Linked DNA regions of Ovis aries. The protein of the gene in region 2 interacts with the protein of the main gene of each other region in a pairwise test. Links are inferred from orthologs where the notes say so. Each region holds a gene or a part of one and is shown on either strand. Other genes may lie near its edges.

Region 1 (6,654 bases), on a different chromosome or scaffold from region 2:
GAATCCTGCCTCAAGGTCTTTGCACCTCCTGTGCCCACTGCCTGGGATGCCAACTGATATTATTCTGCTTGGCATGTCCACGCCAGCCTGAAAACTTCTACTCAAACCTCAAAGCCCCATTTATAATGCCCTCTGCTTAGGAAGTCTTTCTGGCATCCCCCTCTAGGTTCCTCTAGTCCGTGTTCTCTTTCACCAGCCCACGGGACTGGAGGTATTCATGGGGTTGGGGGTGTTCATATTTGGCTTTTTTTGCCTCAATATCACCCTGCACTGGCTAGGTAAGGGTGGAGGGGTGGAGGTAAGATCATTAGGAATTTTAGCTCTCTCCTACCCATCCGTCTTTTCTTCCTCTCCTCTCTGGAAACGTGAAGGAAACTTCCTGGTGCAGGAAAAGTCTTGTTATTTATTTTATTAGAAAATAGAGTGTTTATGTAAAGAACATCAAAAGGTCGAGGACCTGCACGGGAGTCGGCGTGAGCAGGAGTGATCTCAGGCTCAGCCAAATTGAGTACGGGGATCCTCTCCATGGAATCAGGGCCTCAGGGGAGGCCAGGTGGGGAGCCCCCGGGTCCAGCAGGAGGGCAGGAAGCAGTCAGCGAGCACCACGATGCAGAGCGGAGCTGGGGCCAGCAATGCTGGTCAGCTTCTGTGGGCTTAACAGCTCACCAGGTACTTCCCTGTGGAGACAGGGTGGTGAGGGGAGAAGGGATCCCCTAAGCTCTCCCAAACACCCCTGTAACTCACTGTTCCACTGTCCCATGGACCCCAGCAGCCGCTCATGAGGACAGAAGCATGGGATGGGGGTGGGGGTGGATGCACCAGTGGGGCCTCCGGCTCCCTGCCTTGGGTTCTCGCAAGGACGCCAGCCAGCCAGGGGACACTTCTTTTTTTCTTTCTTTTTTGGCTGCACTGTGCATGTGTTCTCGGACTAGGGCTTGAATCCATGCCCCTTGTAGTGGAAGCATGGTGTCTTAACCACTGGCTGGTCAGGGAAGTCCCATAGAGGATACGTCTTGATCCCTTTCACTGGGGCTCTGACCACCCATCTCTCCACCCGTACCCGCCACCTTGGGTCTCCAGGCCCCAACACCCACCTATCTCTTCCAAACACCCTAAATGTCTCCCCTCCCCCTGCATCCTAGAAGAAGCAATGAGTGGGACTCAGAGCCCGGCCTGGTCTTGGCTCCGGGGATGTGCAGTGGCAGGGCAAGGGCGTACCTGTGGCGAACCTCCTCTTTACCAGCGACATGCGGTAGCCACTCCCCACCAGCTCCACGTCCACGCCGGACAGAGTGGCCCCCTCACTGGTGAACTGAGCAGCCACAGGGCTGGGCGTGCTGGGCCCAGAGCATGGCTCCCAGCTGGCAGACAGGCGGCCAGAGCCTGGGGAGGTCTGAGGTCAGCCGTGCCCTTTTCCTCACCCCAGCCCTCCAGTGACCTGGGCTCCTCCTCAGCCCTGCACCCAAGCCCTTTGACCTGTGGCTCTGTTCCCTTTGACGACTTCTTTTGTCCTGCACCCTTTTCCTTTGGTCTTGCTGGGGTTGTGTGTGGTTTCCAAAGGAATTCTGCCTCAGGGCCTTTGCACCTCCTGTGTGCATCTCCTGCGCCCACCCCCTGGGATGCCCTCTCTTCCGCATTGTCAAAGCCCTTTTAAGCTTTCCTTGATGCCTACATTTCCCTGCTCCAGCACATCCCTAGTTCTCCCCTAGTTTATTTACAAAACATTTTTAGCCACGTCCCATGGCTTACTGGATCTTAGTTCCCTGCCCAGGAATCGAATCCCCGCCCTCTGCAGTGAAAGCGTGGAGTCTAGCCACTAGTCTGCCAGGGAATTCCCTCTTCCGTAGTTTAAATAAGCCTATCCCATTTGAGACCTCCAAGCCCTTATGTACGACCATAACTCACCCCCTGCCTCAGACACATCTGGAAGCTTCCATAGGAGCCGCTTCTCCTCCAGGTTCCTGGCATCAAGAGATCAGGTCAGGTCTTTCCCAGAAAAGATATTCGGAGCCCAGGGTCCCAGCTCAGTTGCCTCTTGGCTACATGACCCAAGAAAGCCATGTCCCCTCCCTGGCCTCAGTTTCCCCATGTGTGAAAATGGGGGCGGGGGTGTGGAGCAGCTGTTTCCTGAAGGCTCCTCAGCCTCATAGCACTTGTAGGTGATGCATTTGGTCCTATAAATTCGGTTTCTTGGTTGTTGGTTCTACCTTCTGCACAAAACAAAGTTGTGCAGTGACTAAAAGCCCGGGGCCACGAGTGGGTGGCTGGTTCACATCCTGGTGTGACCTCCGGTCAACGACTTTGCTTCTGTATACCTCAGCTCCCCCTCGGTAAGTGGGGATGATGGTGATCCACCCCTCAAGGGATTGCTAAAAGCCCCGAGCCAGTCAGTGTATGCAGAGATGTAGGACACGCCTAACAGGTAGGAAGCTTTTGGTGTCAGACATTACTTTTGTTAATGATATTGCCCTTAGCTCCAAGCAAGGCACGTGCAAGCGCGCTCAGTCACTCCAGTCCTCTCTGACTGTTTGCGGCCCCCTGGACTGTAGCCCGCAGGCTGCTCTGTCCGTGGGGATTCTCCAGGCAAGAATATTGGAGTGGGCTGCCATCTCCTCCTCCCAGGGACCTTCCTGACCCAGGGACTGAATCCACATCTCCTGCGTCTCCTTGCACTGGTGGATGGGTTCTTTAACACCAAGCTTCTTTGGGAAGCCTCTGAGCAAGGTGAGCCCACAGTGAATGGTCAGGCCTACAGTGGACCCATCAGCTGCTGCATCGGAGGGCGGTCTACTAGGATCTGAGCCTCTCCCGGCCTCCCGCTCGCCCTCACCAGGTGGCAGCCGGCTGCAGGCGGACATTGGTCACAGGTTCCCCCACGGGGAGCAGGATCTGGACATTGGTGAGTGGCGTGGGCACGACTGTGGCACCGGGTTGGTAGCTGTACTCCACCGAGACCTGAGTGAGGGTCGGCCCACACTGCCAGTGGGCGCTCAGCTGCAGAGGCATGGACTGGGGACCGGGGCGGGAGAACTAGGGGGAGCAAGAACAGGAGAGAGGATGTGGCTTGAGCTGCCCTGTCCTGCCACACCACACACTGTCCAGCCATGCTGCCCCTGCCATGTCACCCAGCATTCAAATGGCCTGATTCTGCACTGCCTGTGACACCCGAGGGGCTCCTGATACCCCAAGGGAGCTCTTTGTTGATGAGAGATTGTACTACATGACATGTCCAGCAGAGGGCAATAGAGTGCCTCATTCTAACACAGTCTTGGGGACAGGCCCTGGGAAAAGGCCCCTTCTAATTTGCATAATGCAGCCGTCTGCCCCAGCAGAGTCCTGGCCCCCTTACACTGCCCACCCTGCCTACCTCCCACAGCTCCCCCCACTCCCACTGCTCTTCCCAGTGAGAGCTGCCTGCTCACCCTGCCCCTGCCCACCATCCTCCATGCCCGCTCTGCCCCACCCCATCCACCCGGCCCACCTGGTACCGCAGGAGCACTACGTTGTAGTAGGAGGCAGCTGGATTCTGCTCTGCCTGGCGCTGCAGAGTCTCAGTCAGAGTCGTCATGTTGAGCCAGAAGTCTTTGGTCTCTGGGTCACTCTGGGAAGGGTCACTGCAGAGACCAAGAAGAGTCACCCCAACCCTTGGGAGATGCCTACACCAAAGGCCTCCTGAAGATGCAGATTCCCAGGCTAACCCTGGGACCAGGAAAGTGTAACTCCCAGGAAAGGAGGGTGGTGGGAAGCAAAAGAGGGAAGGAAAGTGAGTTTCAGAGAGGGAGAGTGACTTGCCCAAGGTCACACAGCAAATCCCAGGAGGCAGAACAGAAATTCAGGGCCGGGGAGCGCCTGGCCTCCTCCAGCCCCTGGTACCACCCAACTATGCACCCCTTCTTCTAATGGTACCTGAAGAGCAGGTCAGCGTTGGGCTGGAAGTGCTCAATGGGGGCCGTATGCACGAGGCGGAAGCTGAGGACGGGAGGGGGTGGGGTCCCGCTGAACACGCGTACGATGCCGGCAGGGAAGGTCATGGTCAGCTCCCCAGTTACTCGAGCCAGGCAGCTGGTGGGGGGAGTTGAAGAAACTGGGCATTGGCTTAGGGCTCTACCAAGCTCCTCTTCCTCCCCTCGCTACTAGCTCCACTGTAGCCTGTGGCTCACCAGGTCCATCAGAATCAGCAAGGCCCTGACCCAGGCAGCATCCCAGCCCCAGCTACCTCCCCTTGTCTCCCTGCCTGGACAGCAATCTAGACACCAGGAAGAATCCACAATGAGCTGAAGGAGACAGGGACACTCCCTTCCCCCTTCTCTTTTCCCCTAGGCCACCAGGAAGCTCAAAGCAAACCATTCAGTCCTCAGCTTGGGTTTTGGGTCTGATACTCTTTGTGGCTTCATCTTACAGTGTCTTTCGGCTGGGCGCTGCCCCCAGATTATTCCTGGTCCCTCGAGTCACCTTTCCCTTTCCCGCTCTGTGGGCTGGCCTCTGGTCTTGCTCCTGCAGTGTGATGCCCACAGCAGCCTCGGAGGAGCTCCGCTCCACCATGGAAACATCAGTGCCCTGCCTGCCTGCCTGTGTGTGTGTGCACACCCGCTCAGTCACTAAGTCATGTCCGACTCTTTGCCTCCCCGTGGACTGTAGCCTGCCAGGCACCTCTGTTCATGGGATTTTCCAGGCAAGAATACTGGAGCGAGCTGCCATTTCCTTCTCCAGGGGATCTTCCCGACACGGGGAACCTGAATCTCCTGCGTGGCAGGCAGATTCTCTGCCACTGAGCCCCCTGGGAAGCCCACCTCACTGCCTTAGCCTGTTCAAATGCCCCTTATGGCTCCTATTGCTCTCAGGATGGGCCTAGAGGCCGTTCCGTGGTAAAGCAGATCAGGAAACCCCCCTGAACGCTGGCCCTGCTGGAACCCAGATGCACAGCTCCCAGGAAGCCCTGTCTGCTTGTCCCCATCTGCCCCACCACTGTGTACCTGGGGCTGTGGCCACGGAAGTAGGCATGGACGTACTCAGTGAAGGCCGTGGCCACGGGCAGGGCATCCTGGGAGCCCAGGACCACAGGGCTGGGACCCCGAGAGACTCCTGGGGGTGGCAGGGAGGGAATGGGGGACAGACAGAGTGAGCACAGATCCCAGGCTCCCGAACCCCCGCCCTCTGCGACAAAGCCTCTGTTGTATCTTGGCCACCCACCCGGACTGGAGAAGGTGACCCTGAAGCCCAGAGAGGACCCACATACCATGTCCGGTCTGGGATGTGAAGCTGGGCCGTTCAGGGATGGAGCTGGGAGCTGAAGAGCCCAGTGGAGAGGGGCTCAGGGAACGAGACTGGAAGGGAAGAGAAGCCGGCCTGTGAACACCCTGGCAGAAGTGCCCCGAGGCTGATCCTGGAGGCGACCCCCCCAGCCCAGCTCCTGCTGCCCCCGACCCTACCAGGTCTCCATTGCTGCGCATGAGGGGACAGGATGCCTTCCTGGAGCGCGGTCTCCGGGATGGGGCTGCCAGACCCTCCCTGACAGCAAAGTCAGCAGGTACAGGCATCAAGTCTGGGGAACAAGCGTAAGCACAGACATGGCTCAGCTGCTGTCTGGGCCTCTCGGGGAAGAATTCAGCCCCAATCCGAGAATCGGGCTCACAGGGGGAAACCGCCTGATGGTCAGAAGTCCTCGGGCTGCAGAGAAGGTGCTGGACAGGACTGGAGACACCACATGCAACCTTGAGTCTCCCAGACACTAGACTGGTGGCTCAGTAAGGGGTGAGCTCCCGATCGCTGGAGGTACGCAAACAAGGGCTGGATGTTCAGAAGGCAGGCACATTGTTGCAGGGGGGTGGATTTGGCAGAGACCTTTTATCCAACATTTGGCAATTCTACGACCTTCATCCTCTCTGAGAGGGTTTCCCACCCTGGCCAGTGTCCGAGTCACACCCTTCTAATTTAACTAATCTCGGTGTTAACACCTCAGTTCCCCTTGCTCTCCTGCTTCCCTGGTATTCCTGCTTTGCTCCATCTACAAGCGCTTACTTGCCCACCTACACCCCACACAATGCTGTCTGTCCCAAGGTTCTCAGCCGGGTCAGATCCCTTGCTGTGGTGGGGCTGTCTTCCTCCCTGGCCTCCATTCCGCAAACATCAGGTGTACCCTGCCCCCAAGTGGTGACAGTCAAGTACCAGTGATCCTGTTGCCAAGTGTGCCGGAGAATAAAGGGGCAGAACCGGCCCAGTTGAGAACCTTAATTCTGCGATACACCTCTGGTAACTTCATCTGTCTACACTTGCGGTCTGCACTCACTCCTCTGAGCCCTGAGCCCTCCCTTGAACCAGTTCCAACCAGGCTCTTTCTTTACACCAAGGATGGTACCCTCTGCCCCCAGTGCTGGGGATCTCACGTGGCCACAGCCTGCAGCCCCTCTAACTCAGGGCCCAGAAGCCAGCCCACACCCAATCCCCTCCTCCCTCCCGGCCTTGCACACGCCCACCCCAGCTTCTTCCGCCCCATCCTTCCTGCTCTTTCTGCCCCTCCCTCTCCTCTCAGTTGCTCTCAGACCCTCCGCCCTGACTCCTCTTTTCGCTGGGCCCCATGTCTACCAGCGGCTTCTCCCGACTGTCACCCCATCACCACTTACCTGGACTCACTTCCCTAGTCTCCAGCTCCTATCC
Region 2 (8,029 bases):
AGATATTTTAAATCCTTTTGTAAGCAGAAAAGTGCTGAGGAACCCCCCAGAACCCCAGGCTGTCCTGTGCGTGGTGGGGGGTACACATCTGTGCACATCTCCAGTTCCCTCCAGCGGGCACAGTCACTCTGGTGCCCCCACTCACCCCTCAGCAGCTCCAGCAGGCTCCCCTTCGGCATGAGCTCCGTGACAATGTACACCGGGTCCCCCACGGACGCCACTGCGTACAGAGCCAGGATGTGCTTGTGCCGCAGCTTCTTCATGGCCTGGATCTCCGACTGGAACGTGTGCTGGTGCAGAAGGTCGGCTGTGGGGGTGGGCGGCCTCGCTGGGTGTGGCCCCTGGAGAAGCTGGGGGCCCTCAGCCTGCCCCTGCACCCAGCCACACCAGCAGCAGCTCAGGAAATGTGGACACCCTTCCAGATACCCCATCTCCCAGGCCAGGATGCCAGGTCAGACCCAGCCTCATCCCCACTGTTCACATGGGGGTCTACTATGCCCACCAGCAGCTCTCCCCACACCCCAGGCACCACAGACACCCCCATGGGGTTTACCGCTGCCCAGCTTGATGTGGAGCTAGAACTCCCCCTAGATGTGCTCCCTTGCAGCCCTGGGTCCCCGGTTCCTGAAGTGGGTGATCTGAACCTCTGGTGGTTCATCTAAGAAGAGTCTAAAGGAACCTTTTCAGATCTCTGGTGATTACTTATTCTAAGGGCTTTTCTTCCATTTACATTAAGAATTTAAAATTTCCTGTCAGGATAAGTGCACTTGGGCAGCGGCATGAAAGCAGAAAGCCACCCAGACGCCGCACTGGGTGCCGCACATGGTCCAGATCAGGGTGCTGAGTGGTGGGTGGGCTGTCAGGGCCCAAGGCTGCTGGGCCACCCGACCCCCACTGGCCCACTGACCTCGGGCGATCACCTTGATGGCCACTCGGACCTTGTCCTTCCAGAGCCCTTCAAAGACCTCCCCGAAGTAGCCGAAGCCCAGCTTCCTGCAGAGCGTGAACTCCTCCCGTGGCCTCTCCCAGTCATCACAGTGGGGCAGGGGCTCTGGCTCGTGCTGCAGGGACATGGGCGGGGGCACCCGTCCACATGAAGTCAGCCTCAGCCACGTCCTGCTGGGGAGGGTCCTGGTGTCCAGCATGTAGCCGGGCTCACAGAGGCTGCCCCCAGCCAAGCTGACCCCTTCTGTGTCCAGCAGACAAAAAGCACCCTCCACCTGCTCTGAACCAGTGACACTGACCTGATTGCCATTCAGACAAAAGTCCTGTCTGTCTGCCGGCCAGGGCATATGGCCGGAGAGACTCAGGACATGGCAGGAACACAGCTGACCTCTTGCTGACCCGGGGGTGAGAGTGCCCACCCTCCCCCCATGCCCGGCTCTGTACAAACACAGCTGACTGGCTGCCAGAGTCCCCAGAGAGTGTCCCCAAGGGTCCCCAGGCAGTTGAGGCAAAGACCCACACCCATCTCCACTGGAGGGTTCGCACCCCTGTAAGGGGCAGTGGGGAGGCCAGGGTCTGGCATGGGGATCAGGGGCCCCTACCTTCCTGCAGGGTGAGGTCAGCCACAGGCCGTGGGACAGGCTCTGGACCTTGTGGTGGTCCACGAGCTCGGACAGGCCAGGGAAGGACACAGCCTCGTTGAGGTGCAGCCGGCCGGCCCGCCACCAGATCTTGTAGTGGCGCACGGTCTGCTGGTCCCGCACTGCACAGAGTGGGGCACTCATGAGCAGGTGCCAAGAAAGTAAGGACCCAACAGGACCTCGGGACAGGAGCCCAGACCTTGGGGCCCTCGCCCACCAAGGGTCAGAGCTCCCAGGGCAAGGTCTAGACGTCCCAGGGCGGGGGAGAGGATAGGCCAGAGGGGCTGAGCTCTACATGCACGAAGGGTTTAGGGACCAGAAGTCTGGAAGTCAGGCCCGGGGGTGGGGAGGCGGCTGTGGAGCGGGGAGGGCAGGAAGTGGGTACCCGAGAGGACATAATCGGCGCCTGGCTTCTCACTGACGCGGATCAGGAAGGACCCCTGCTCGTTGCCCATGGCCTGCAGTCGGTGCAGAGCTTCCGAGCGAGAGATTCGGCCGAAGAACCACCTGCAGGATGGGGGTACCCTGAGCAGAGCAGATCCCCCCAGTGCCCCTGCCTTGAGTCCCAGCCCCCACCTGACCTGACCCTCTGCCTCCTTGAGTTGTGTTCCAGCCCAAACCCACAGATGCCTTCTGACACTCACTGACCCAGAGCACCCTTCTTTGCCCATTGCCAACCCCAAATGTCCCAAGTGGTCAATTTTGGATACCAGGAAAGGCCTGGAGATCCAGAAGTGGGAAAGGCCCCCCACCACTCTGCCTGGGGCATCCCCTGTCTGTGGGGATAGAGCCCCCCATCCTATGGGTGCAGCGACCCATCCCCAACTTCAGATGTGACTCTGCAGCCATGCACTTGGACCCATCTTGTTTGGGTTTTTTGTGGGGTTGTTTTTTTTTTTTTTTTCATTTTGGCCTTGCCAGACAACATGCAGGGTATGGGATCTTAGTTCCCCAACCAGGGATGGAACCCACACCCCTGCAATGGCAGCGCGGCATCTGAAACACTGGACCACCAGGGAAGTTCCTGGGCTACACTGTCCTGTGACCCTGTGGTACCTTCTCCCTCTGGGGCCACAGACACATGGTGCTCAAAAGCCCTGGGATCTGAGGATTCACACGTACCAGCACACACCCATTCTCACACCCCGACTCCCAGCACCAGAGCAGGGACCAGCCTGGACTCTGGAGGGCAAGGTGGGGCCAGTGGGACTCCCCAGGGAACCTCTGCTGCAAGCCGCTCTGCCCTTTGTACCCTCAACCCCTCAGGCCCTGTTGAAATGTGAGCACCCGCACAAGAGGACCACTGCCCAGCACTGAGCCCTGTGGGGTTCACAGCCCACTCCCACCCACCTGCCCAGCACCTCTGGAGTCTCTCCCCTTTGCTCCCAACCCCACCTCCTTGCCTTCTTCCACTTCTCAAATGTGCTGTGTTCCCAGGGACTCGGGGCCTTTGCCCTGGCCATGCTGATCCCGCCTGAGGCCATCCAGTGTGTGCTGTGTCCCTCCAGGAAGACACAGTAGGCACTCCATCAGTGGGGCGCATGGCGCACAGGGACTGCCTACCCAGAGTCCATAGAACCTCCTCGGGTCGTGAGCAGCCCAGGCCAGGCCACTCCTGTGGCCCAAGATTCCTGGGCAGCCCCTCAGGACTGTAGACACCTCCCAGAGCTATCTCGCCAGTGACAGGCAGTCATGCTGGCACAGGAAGCATGTCTGTGGCCCACACTCCGGCTGGCCTGTCTCAACAGCCTTCCCACTCCCTCTGATGAGACCACATGTCTGATTTCAGGTATTTGGAAGGGGAGCAAAGCTTCACTCCCCAGAAGGCCCAGACTTTGCCCTCTCTGGGTCCCACACCGTGCACTGACCATGGGGAAGCCCAGGGGAGGGACCACAGCCTCAGGACCCCCTCCCCGGAAGTCACACACAGACACCCAGCCAGGGATCCCAAGACCAGGATGGTAGGCCCGGCCTCTCGGGAGGACAGGGGTAGGGATATGGAGCCATGGGTTCCCAATCTGTGGCTGCCCAAGGCGCCTGCCCGCACCCAGAGGCCAGCCACGGAGGCACAGAGCTCTGTCCCCACAGACTCCTTTCCCAAGCTCAAGAGGGGCTGCATAGCCCAGGGATGGGGGTGCCTTGGAGTGACCCACCAGGGCCACAGGGACACTCACGGCTCCAACTCCACCGTCTCTTTCTCAGCCAGGTAGTTGTGGGGCACGTAGCCTTCAGCCAGGGCCCGGCCCGCCCCATCCAGCCGCACGGCCCACCACCACTCCTCCTCCTTTCTGGCCACGTGGAAGAGGTCCCCTGCCCGGAAGCTCAGCTCCTCAGCAGTCCGAGCCTCAAAGTCCCAGAGGCCCACATACTGGGGGCCCAGGGGAGCCTGGCCCTTGGATCCCATGGCTGGTGCAGCAGCAAAACTGGGCCGTCTGGCCTTGCCACCTTCTCCGGTCCAGCTGGGAGCAGCATGTGGGCACGGCTGTTCCCAGCAGTCTGTCCCTGCCCCACTGAGCCACCACCCATATCCCTGTGATGAGGCAGCCGTGCCAGCCACACCTATGCCACCAAGGACAGCCCCGCTCGGGCCTTCTCAGGCACCCTAGGCTCCACCCTGAGGGCCACCCCCTGGGCCAGGTCAGTCTGGGCACTAACTGACCAGTTAACACCTGCCGAGAAAGCTGCCCACCAAGTGGTCACAGGTGCCACTGGCCACGTGGCCAGACCTAAGCGCCAGGAGAGGGGAGAGGGGAGTCACTGATCAGGCAGGAGGTGTGGGACTTGGAGCTGGAGGGGCGGGACAAGGCACGCCCTCCCCCAAAGCCCCCGGACTGTGTGGCTGGGCCTGGATCCCAGCATGGCCAGTTCCCAGCAGCGTCCCCACCAGAAGCCCAGGGCTGCTTCTCTGCCTGCCCCCGGAGGAGCTCCCCCGAGGCCCAGGCACCTCCTCCCCGGCCAGAGGCTGGGGTGCCAGGGACTCTGCCCGATGGGAGGGCTGTGAGGACAATGAGCAGGGACTCACACACTCAATCCTGCTTGTGGGCGTTTTCCCTTTTATTGAGAAGAGACTAGGCACCATCCGCCTCTCTGAGATCAAGAACAAGCCTGCTTGGTTCTGACCAAGGAGGACCCAGAGGGGACGGACAGATGGCTGGGCGGTGAGAAGTTCTGAAGCCCCCACCCCTGCACACCTACCCCCTCACCGTTGGCCAGAACTCTCTGACCCCCTTGCCCTTGGGCCCCGCCCCTGAGCTCTGTCCAGAGGGCCTCCGGTTCTGCCCATCACACCAGCAAATGGGAGGGATCTGAGGCTGAGGCCTGGGCCCTCACTAGGGCATCAGCATCAAACCTGTTTAGCTTGTGCTGATGACATGCCCCTGGGAAACGCCGGTGACCCCCACGCACACCTGCCTCTCCTGTCACCCCACCCAGCATGCTCCTCCCTGCCCAGGATGCCTGCCAGCCCCAGTTCCCACACACCCCAGGAAACGAAGAAGGTGAGTCCTTCAACACGGCTGGAGCCCGAGCCCCACAGGCTTCTTGGTCTGGGAACCACCTGAGCCAGAGGAGCCCAGCCCTCACCCTCGGGCACCCCAGCTCTCCCAGGAGAGGGTAGAGAGGGGTCAGGGGCTGAATGCCAGGGCAGAGCTGAGGCCCAGCTGCCTGGTGTCCCAAAAGCCTCGGGCCAAACCCTCTTGCCCCCTCCCCCATCTGCCTGGTTGAGGATGGTGATGCTGGGGACCATGTCTCAGGCTCTGACCCACAACCAAAGTGATTGGGGCCCTGAAGTGGCCTGTTCTCACTTCCCCTCTCTGCTCAAGGGATCCCTCACCCTCCAGGGCCCCCTCCCCTCCCCTCTGGGAAGTCCCCTGCCCCAGTTTCTCTAACCCTGCACAGACTGTTTCTCTGAGCATCTGAGCAGCCCCTGGGGCGGGAGGGTCACTTATCTGCACCCTAGGGTCCCAGCTTCCCATGATGCCTCTGCCCCTTCTGTCCCACAGGCCTCTGGAGCACAGCTGCCAGCCTGGGGCTCCCAGGATGACAGTCGGGAACCCTTAGGGTGGACCCCACCTGCCCAATCCCTGTCCATGTCCATTTCATGGGACTGGAGCCGGCAGGGTGAGGTGAAGCCAACAGCGCACGTCCTGTGACAAAGCCGTGCTTGAGATCAGCCCCAGGGCAGCAGTTGCACCTGGAAACTGGCTGCTTCCTGTCACAGGAGGGCCAGTGGTCACCAGGTGCCCAGACGCCAGAGCATCAGTGTCTGCCCCACCCCAACCCTGCACAGTCAGCCAGCACCCAGGACCCCAGCTCTGAGGCATGATGCCTCCCTGACCTTTGCCCCACCCACAGAGAACCACCCAGAGCGACACGCAGTCACCTAGTCACCAGTCTGAGCTTCCTGTGGTCTGACAACTCCCTCCCTCCCTCTCTCTCTGCTCCAGCCCCAGGGGCATGGGAAAGGCTCTTTAGCTGGCCTCTGCAGCCTCCCCCACCATCCTGTTCCTGCCCACAGCCCAGGGGGTGTGCTGCCTCTGAATCCCCGGATGTGGATGCCAAGATGCCCTGGGGTGGAGGTGGGCACGTGAGGTCCAGTTCTTCCTCGGGCACGATCCACCAGATGGTGGGCTGAGCCGTCAGGCCCAGGTGGCCCACAAGAGGGAGCAGCTATGCCAGTCTGTGTGCCAAGTGGGGCCAGCGCCCTGGGCCTGCCAAAGCCCTAGCACTGGCAGCTGCAAGAAGGCCACAGCAACCCATCGAGGCTCCTGACTGTGGGAGGGGGCTCGATGAGGCAGGCACGGGCAGGAGGCCTCTCTGCCCAGTGTCTCCCTGAGGTCAGGGCGAATGTGGGCTCTGTCTGGGCTTCTCTGCTGAGACCCTCCCTCTCTGGGGAATACTAGTCACCCTGGTGGAGGACGCCGGTCCCTCTCCTGTCTGAGCGGGTGTCCGCGTGTGTCTGCCTCGTGTGCACAAGCTTTGTGTGTCAGCACGTGTCAGGGTGTGAGGCCCACAGCCAGAGGCTCTGTGGGCTGGCACCAGTTCTGGGCAGCAGGTATTGCTGGCAAACACTGTCCTGTGAGAGGGGTCTCTGGGCAGGAGCCCGGGTCATGTGAGGGTGGGGCGGTGGCGCCTGCTAGTGGTGCCCAGCTTCTCCCGCAGTGTGATGAAGTCTGGCCGCTCTTCCGGGCAGCGCCTCCAGCACCCCAGCATGAGCGCGTAGACCTCAGCCGGGCAGGCGGCCGGGCGCGGGAGCCGGTACCCCCGTGAGATCTGCTGTAGAGTCTCGTGGTTGCTCATCCCTGGGGAGAGGCAGGAAGAGAGGCTGGGCAGGTGCTTCTTCCCTTGGCCTGGGAGTCACCCTGGAGCCCACCTCCAGCCCTGGGCAGACCCTGCCAAGCAGGCAGCCTCCAGGCTTGGTACCCCTTCCAGGCTCAGCAATCCCCGGGCAGGGGGTGACTCCTCCTCCAAGCTGGCTCCCATGCTTCCTTCCTTGGACTACCCTTGCCTCCTGCCTTGTGCTGCCAGGAGACCCACCTTCGTAGGGACACCGGCCATATGTGAAGACCTCGTAGAGCAGTACCCCAAAGGACCAGACATCAGACTTGGGCGAGTACACGCAATAGCTGGCTGCCTCAGGCGCCGTCCACTTGACGGGGATCTTGGAGCCGCTGCGCAGGGAGTAGACGTCATCCTGGGCAAGGGGAGACCAGTGGCGCAATGGGTGGAGAGGCAGCCTCCTCCCTAGCCCCTGAGTCGCCCAGCAGCCCATGGCCGGAGCCCACGCTGACCTTGAGCAGCCGGGCCAAGCCAAAGTCAGCCACCTTGCAGGCCAGGTCATCACCCACGAGCACGTTCCTGGCAGCCAGGTCCCTATGCACGATGCGCTGCTCCTCCAGGTAGCTCATGCCCTCGGCCACCTGACAGGCAAAGGTCAGCAGGAAGGGTGGGCTCAGGGCCTGGCCTTCGGGGCCTGCAGGCAGGGCCGACAGTCAGGCGGCAGGCGTCTGCCCTAGTCACTGCCCTCCGCACTTTGGGGTCCCCAGCTCTAAGTCAGGTTGAGGACAGCACTGCCTGCCAAGGCCGGAGGGGGACACTGGTGTTGTGGTTCTGTGTCAGCCTGACCCTGGTTCCCAACCAGAAATAGAAACAGACCAAAGTGGGGGAGGGCTGCACCCGGGGTCTGATGGGGTCCATGCCAGAACTAGTGACCTAGTGTAGGATTAGTGACCCAGAGGGGCCCCACCTGGAACTGCAGTGTCCAGACCCCGCCCAGCCTCACTCATGTCCAGAACCAACCCCGGCCATATGGGCCTTAACAATCGGCATTCAATAAAAAGGCCTGGAGGACCATCAGGAAGGGTGAGGGCATCCCCATCCCCACTGTGACACTCACTGCCCAGGAAGGCCTGCAGGCTGCCCTTGCACATGAGCTCTGTGACGAT
Region 3 (7,511 bases), on a different chromosome or scaffold from region 2:
TTCCTCGGAGTTGGTTCCATCCAATCTTCAGACTTAGTTTATTAATGTGAAGATGCTCTGGGAAAAAGACATTTTCCTTCATTTAAGATTACCAATGGTGAAAACAAAAGGAGGTAACTCATCTGAGCTATAAATGAAATTTAACTTATTCTAGATTCTTATCCTTATTCTTAACTTTCTATACTTCTTCCTATTAAGTGACCAGTCACTGATAATTCTATGTTTTATTGACCTTCCAGTGATTATAAAGTAATTTAAGTGGTTTTTGAAAGTAAACTTAATTCCAGTTTCAGACTTTTAAATTAAAAGTGGCTCAGTTGGATACTGTCTCTTCAACACTGTAATATAAATATTAGTATCTCGGCTAAAATGAATTATTGACAATTTTAATACATGTTGCACAGTACATATTAATATAGAAAAATACATGTTATCAGCAGCATAATGTTGACCATGTTCTAATCCATTCCACCTGCTCAAATATTAGTGAAAATAATTATATATTTGTAATGCATCACTGCTGTCTAGCACAAATCTATGCCTTCTGAATAAATGACTTTCCTCTGAGCTTGTTTGCTGTCTGGAGTATGACTGTGATATATTCATATTTCAATTGGCTTCGTATGTACGGTGAAGCAGATAGCAACCTTCTAAACCACTTAGGAAATGAGCAAGTATGGTTAATTACTTGTCTCTCCCCCACAAAAGTGTTATTAATCCTAAGAACTAAAGTTTAGCGTTACCTCCCAGATAACAATGTTCAAGTATACAGAGAAAAAAGCGTTTGTCACTTAGTCATGTCCGACTCTTTGAGACCCCATCGACTGCAACCTGTCAGGGCCCTCTGTCCATGGGATTCTCTAGGCAAGAATATTGGAGTGGGTTGCCATTTCCTTCTCCAGGGGATCTTCCTGAACCAGGGATCAAACCCAGGTCTTCTACATTACAGGCAGTTTCTTCACTGTCTGAGCCATCAGGGTAAGCCCAAAAGTATACAGTGAAAGTGAAAGTCACTCAGTCAAGTCCAACTCTTTGCAACCCCATGGACTAGACAGTCCATGGAATTCTCCAGGCCAGGATACTGGAGAATATCCCTTCTCCAGGGGATATTCCCAACCCAGGGGTAGAACCCAGGTATCCCGCATTGCAGGCAGATTCTTTACCAGATGAGCCGCAGCAGAAGCCCCGAAAGCACGCAGGGCCTTGTTTAAAAATATCAGTCTTGTTAAGCCCAAGGTTATCAACCTAGCTGCTTCAAATCACCAATTAAAATTCTTATTTTCTAATGTGTCAGATTTCTCTTCTACACTGAGGGTTGTTTCTCCCCTTAAATTAGGAAAGAGAAAGACTGATCAGTAGTAAGAATAAAAGTTAAGAGTTAAGGCAATTTTAAAAACATTAAATATACAATATTTGATTACATGAAAATGACAGCCTATTGCTAATACACTGAGTACTTTTTTCTCTTATGCTTTCACTCTAGCATTAGCTATTTTACCACTACCAATGCACTAAATGATCAACAGAACTGGCAAACTTATGACATTAAAATAGTTTGTTTCTGAAGGCAGAAATACTGATTTCTTATCTTTAAAGGTGGAATTGTCGTTTACTCCTATGGCACAAAATATCTGAATTCTTTCTATTGCAAAAATTATAACTCAAGTAGCACTATGACTACACAAAATACTACTAAAGAACTTTTTGAAGGAAAGATTTCTAGTAGGCACAAACTTAATATTCAATTAAATTGCATGACCACTTATAAAATTTTAAAGCCCAAGGTTATCAACCTAGCTGCTTCAAATCACCAATTAAAATTCTTATTTTCTAATGTGTCAGATTTCTCTTCTACACTGAGGGTTGTGTATGACTACACAATGGACACATTAAAAAAAAGTCTAAGAGTAAATTAATTAGCTCTGTATCTCAACTTCATAATCTAAACACTACAATGAGAACCAAATACTGGATGAAAGGAAAGATTAAACAAAACTAATGAGCCCATCAAACTAAAGGACCTATTTAATATTTAATGTTACATAGGGAGAAAAGTGCATAAAGCACAAATAGCGAGAATGATTCAGGTTTCAATCTGAGCCTTTTACTTAGCTGCAGACCTTGAGCAGATCTACTTACAACTTTCTGGGCAATGGGCATCTTCAAATGGAGATAATAGTACTCTGCTCTTAGGGCTGCTTTGAAACCAAATGAAATAACATATGCAAAGGGCTTAGCACAGTGCACAGGACTTAAGTCAATAAATATAGCTATAATTGTCTTTTTTATGCATCAAAATTTTTAAAGGCCATTTTTACTTTATGTAGAATTACTTAAAGTAACAATATGGACTGGTTCTTTTCCTCCAAAGTACACAATGTATTTCACGACAGACTTTCTCAAGCCAAGAGAAGTACTAGAGAACTGAATATAGCTAAACTAAATGGATGAAAGCACAGAATGCTTTGTATGTCAAATTCTGCACTAGAAATTATGCTTCTAGAAAACATCTCACACTTCTGAGTCAAAGGGCAAATAAGAGTAATACACAGAATATCTCTGCATTAAAAAAAGCTAAACTCCAAGATAGGAGGTTTTGAAGTCACTAACAAATTACACACCCAGGATACCTGACTCTCACATGCAGTTCAAGCATGCCTTGCTGCTGCTGCTGCTAAGTCGCTTCAGTCGCGTCAGACTCTGTGCGACCCCACAGACGGCAGCCCACCAGGCTCCTCCATCCCTGGGATTCTCTAGGAAAGAATACCGGAGTGGGTTGCCATTTCCTTCTCCAATGCATGAAAGTGAAAAGTGAAAGTGAAGTCGCTCAGTTGTGTCCAACTCTTAGCGACCCCATGGACTGCAGCCTATGCCTTAGGTAATATATAAATATGACCACCTTTACAGGTTTTCTGGCATTTCAGGAACAAAAATCTCTTTATCTAACTAGATGTAAATATTCAACATCATAGATGAGCAAAAGGCATTTTAAGGAAGCAGCACATTCTCCACTTTGAATCTATCTACTGGGTGATAATTATTTTATGATGTGAAATATTTCAAGTGAAAGAGAAAAGAGATAGTCTAAACTATACCATAAATTAACTTACTTAGAAGCTCTCTTTAAAAGAAGAAAGGTGCTAGGGATTTACAACAATGGTGGTACTCAAAATGAGGCTACTAATAATTGTCTTAGAATAGTCAGATAGCCAACTGTCTAAGGATGCATCCAGCCATTATGTTAATAATTCCTCATAAGAAGTATTCATCTACTTTGGTTAGCTGTTGTTTTCAATATCACCTGCATTCTATATTTCACTTTCTGTATCATTTTATGAAAACATAATACACTCAAGCTTTTTCTTGAGTGTTTCTGCATATTCTAAAAATGCAGTGTTTAAGAGCATATTTTTAATTTCAAAATATTTTCTAAACATTGCATGTTAGCTCATGTGAAACTGGAAAATTATGAAGATTCTCCTTATTCAAATGTTGGCTAAAGTTACTAATGTATAAAGCTCCTTTATCACTACCTAAAATTTTACCATATGCATATGTTTACTTATCTATCATCTCTTTTGAGTCATATATATTTGGGACAAAATTTCATACTGTCCACTAATATGAAAACTACTTTAAAAATCAAATATAACAAATCCAAAGAATGCACACTGTTTTATACAATAAATTTTTTTCTTAGAGAAATTTTTTGTTTCTAATTTTGATTATATAGTCAAGTATTTTCCTGCTTAAAAAGGAAGTGAGAAGACCTATGCCATGAAAATAAGGAACATCTTAAAAATTCAATAAAAATAATTTATAAAATTCAGTATGATGTCTTCAAAATGTAAAAATGGAGTGAAATAAAAAAACAACTGCAGGGAATTTGTTTATTGAGCAATAATGTTAACACTTCTAAATTAAGTATTCACTTATGAGTTTTCTTTGTTAGTGTCCTGTCAATGGTCATAATGGAAAATATTGCACATAACTCAAATATAAAAATAAAAATCAACAAAATAGCTATGCAACAAATATATGCTTTACATTTTAAAAATTAATCCAAACAAAATAATCTGAAACACTTCTCTGATGTGGAAGTCTTATAATGTTCTCTCATGTTTTATTTGATATTCCCCCCCCCCTTTTTTTTTTAAACAAATTGACACTGTGTACAAAGTTCAAATGGCCAGTAAAACTACTGCTTTAAAATTGTTGGCTTTAAGTAACAGAGGTATAATTTGAATTCACATCAGAGCTTTCTAAAATGGCAATAGTACAAGCATATGACTCTCTAATATCCAAAACCTGTTCTGGCTTTCCTTTGGCTAAGGAACAGAAAACTAGACAGCCTTCCAAAGCTGCCACAACTTCCTAAAATGCTTTGATAAATGTTGGCATACTTTATTTCTCTTGCTTACCTAGATAACACTGGGCTAAACAGAAAATGAAGAAAATTCAGTTAAAAGTAACTTAAATAGTAGCTAGCTCACTCTGGACCTGGAAGTTTTGGTAAAGTTGAACATTCAGAAACATATTCTTAAATGTAGTTTTCCAAAATTAGGCCAAAAAGCCTACATTAGAGGAAAAAGAAAAGCCAAAAATGAGTCAAACATTGAAGTTTATCTGTTCCTGGAAGACTACGAATAATACAATGGAAGCTGAAACACTACATACAGCTAAGAATGCATTCTTGCAGAGAAAGTTTATAGTTAATAATTTTTTTTAATTTCCACTTGATATTTAAAATTTTATAAGTGATTTATTATGTCACCATATTAAGCCAATTCAATTAACTACACTCAGTAGGAATCGCTTCAGAAATGCCTTGAAAAAGATAATGACAGACACTATATATTTAAAAACTACTAGTCCTTACAAAGTTCATCTCTGGACTAGAATATAATGCTGACTATCAATTCCCAATTCCTCTTAAAAGAGAAGACTACCTGCATGTTTAGCCATTCCATCTTTTTTCAGTTTAGCATAAGGATAAAAATCTTAAAGGATTGCATTGCTGCTAAACACTGCCAGTAATTCTCATATGCACCATTTAGTCTATACCTCACTTTTTTACTTCCCTTATAATATTAAAATAATGAATAAATATGGTCCTTTAGTTAACATCCTCTACTTTATCTTAAAAGAAATATAAAATAAGGTAGCTTTATTAACTTCTTGCTAGCATTGGCTTAAAATCTGTTTACCAAATAAGAAATTGTAAACTTTTTTTTTCCTTTTACCCAGAAAGCAGATGTATTTTGATCCACACTGCTAATACCTACATAAAATGTATTTCATTTTAGTTTTCTTTATAACATTTTTTTGGAATAGTATTACTGTTGTACCTCAGAAAAAATTCAATGAACCAACTACAGAAATTATGCCCAATTTTCAACCTTTGAAATAGGTAAAAAGTTCTCCAGGAAAACTTAAAAATAATCTGATTAACAATTACCACTGCTGTAAAGGTCATTGAAAACTGATAAATAATAATTGAGTCTTGCTGTATTTTACCCATCATTAGTGCAAAACAGGAAGCTGAAATTTCCCAATGGACTATGTTAAAGAACATGAACTGGAATACTGGTAACAATCTCATTTACCTTCTGACATCAACATTTTCCAGGATGAAAACAATGACATATAGCTTCACAGAGTTTGAGATTTATATAAGTTCAGAAATGGAATTAAAACTTTTAAGGAAAAACCAAAATATTCTTAGTATTGTCCAAATTTCAAATAAATCCTCAAGGGTAAGTATGGCTGCTGTTTTTCCAAACAGTCATTTTTCAATAAAATGTTGGCTGTGTCATAAGAAACCTTCTGTGCTTTCTTTCAACCAAGGCTTGCTGGAGTACAACACATTTCCCTTGTAAATTCAACCTCAGCTGAAATGTCGAGCAAGGCGGGCAGATCTATAGTCAGCACGAAGTTGTACGAAGGAGTGAAGAATGTTCTTGTCCAGATTAGCAAGTTGTTCTCCTGAGCAGACTTGCTTTAAATTATCTGGGTTTACTACCAGAAGATTGCAAAGTGCATGCAGAGTATCAAAAAGCTGTAATACCAGAGGAATCTGAATTGAGATAAGAGAAGGAAAAAAATATTTCTAGTTTTATAATCAGTTTGTAAATTCTTCTCACTTATGTACTGTCAGGAATTAACTGTTAAAGAGTTCAATGTTAGAATTTTTAAAAGCTACCAAAGTGTTAAAAAACTCAAATATTTCAGACATTATATAAACTCAACATAATCTTTTTGAAAAGATTCATATTGTGCCAATTTACTCAAACAGTAATAATCATTTATACTTTTGTGAAGTAGAACTAGTTATCATTAATTTACAGCTTTTTAAAATAATTTAAACATTGGATGGAAACTAATTTCAGAGAGATATACATGAAGAAAGAACATATTTTCTTGATATATGATATACAGCATTAGTTATGGGCATTAATAAGGTCATCTGGACTATGGAACTAAAATATGGCATTTTCTAAAAGCTCAAAGCAAAAATGCGTTAATACTGACTGGAGTAATACTTTTTCATTTAGGAAATGTCAGATCTGTCTCATTACAGTATCAACAAAAGTTATAAACTTTCCCGATGGTTATGTCAGTATACATTTTTATGATCTGACTTATGTTCTTGAACTTATTTACAAGTTTGATATTTGTGAATACATACCTTGAAGTCTTTGGCACACCTCCTATACTCAGCTACGTCACAAATTGCTAACATGCCACCCATACAGCTATAGGAATATTGTTGAAGATGCTCATAAATAAGTCGATGAAAACGTACTCCAAGTTCCATCAAAACTGTATCCACATTCTTCCCATCCATGGAATTTTTAATCTTCTCCACTTGTTTTCTTACGTAAGCACAGACTTTAACACAGGCCTGTAAAATTTTTTCTACACTTATTACACAGAAATATGTATTAGCTTAGCTAAGGAGAAAATACATATAATTTCTCATTAATCTCTAAGAATTAAAAAAAAACACTTGGAGCATAATAAGATACATCAATGAAATGTTAATAAGAATATGAATAAAGCAGATATAAAAAAACACTTGGAGCATAATAAGATACATCAATGAAATGTTAATAAGAATATGAATAAAGCAGATATTCTTACTAGCATATTAAATCATTTTACTCACATTAGTATACTGAATCAAAACATTGTTTTCATCTTCTGGCTTAAAATCTGTTTTCTTTTGTTCTGCAGCCAAGATATGCTTCATTTGTCCAATCATACAATTTAATGTCCTACAGAATTGAGAATACCATGTATTTGATCCATTTAATTTACTTTAATTTATATTATTTATACTAAATTAAATTTAAATTATTTAATTTCATGTCACCATAAAACTACTTTACTATTGGTATACTTCAGATTATAAAACAAGTAAATTCTAGCTCTTGATAGCAAAGAGATCTTAATTTTATTAGCTTCCTGCTCAAAACACAGGGCAAAGATTCATTTGTCCATTACTTTAT

What was found.
Region 1: the proteins of PTK6 (region 2) and FCHO1 interact in binary tests that used the Homo sapiens proteins (3 or more experiments, as listed by UniProt). The two-hybrid records come from large-scale screens. The link is inferred for Ovis aries from reciprocal best matches to the Homo sapiens genes PTK6 and FCHO1.
Region 3: the proteins of PTK6 (region 2) and EXOC5 interact in binary tests that used the Homo sapiens proteins (3 or more experiments, as listed by UniProt). The two-hybrid records come from large-scale screens. The link is inferred for Ovis aries from reciprocal best matches to the Homo sapiens genes PTK6 and EXOC5.

Annotation. Positions count from the first base shown.
Region 1 is NC_056058.1:5,137,159-5,143,812, forward strand, and holds the end of FCHO1 (F-BAR domain only protein 1), read right to left. Parts: intron 5,543-6,654; coding exon 5,430-5,542; intron 5,325-5,429; coding exon 5,237-5,324; intron 5,083-5,236; coding exon 4,974-5,082; intron 4,063-4,973; coding exon 3,907-4,062; intron 3,615-3,906; coding exon 3,482-3,614; intron 3,031-3,481; coding exon 2,831-3,030; intron 1,962-2,830; coding exon 1,906-1,961; intron 1,384-1,905; coding exon 1,219-1,383; intron 678-1,218; coding exon 655-677; 3' UTR 395-654; downstream 1-394. UniProt on the Homo sapiens protein: Functions in an early step of clathrin-mediated endocytosis. Has both a membrane binding/bending activity and the ability to recruit proteins essential to the formation of functional clathrin-coated pits.
Region 2 is NC_056066.1:53,826,601-53,834,629, reverse strand, and holds the start of PTK6 (protein-tyrosine kinase 6), read right to left. Parts: upstream 4,061-8,029; 5' UTR 3,991-4,060; coding exon 3,761-3,990; intron 2,094-3,760; coding exon 1,972-2,093; intron 1,709-1,971; coding exon 1,548-1,708; intron 1,062-1,547; coding exon 908-1,061; intron 308-907; coding exon 146-307; intron 1-145. Other genes in the region: tyrosine-protein kinase Srms, read right to left, coding at 6,693-6,886, 7,122-7,278, 7,376-7,557, 7,981-8,029. UniProt on the Homo sapiens protein: Non-receptor tyrosine-protein kinase implicated in the regulation of a variety of signaling pathways that control the differentiation and maintenance of normal epithelia, as well as tumor growth.
Region 3 is NC_056060.1:67,662,411-67,669,921, forward strand, and holds part of EXOC5 (exocyst complex component 5), read right to left. Parts: exon of another isoform or gene 7,416-7,511; intron 7,278-7,415; coding exon 7,169-7,277; intron 6,905-7,168; coding exon 6,689-6,904; intron 6,077-6,688; coding exon 5,888-6,076; 3' UTR 1-5,887. UniProt on the Homo sapiens protein: Component of the exocyst complex involved in the docking of exocytic vesicles with fusion sites on the plasma membrane.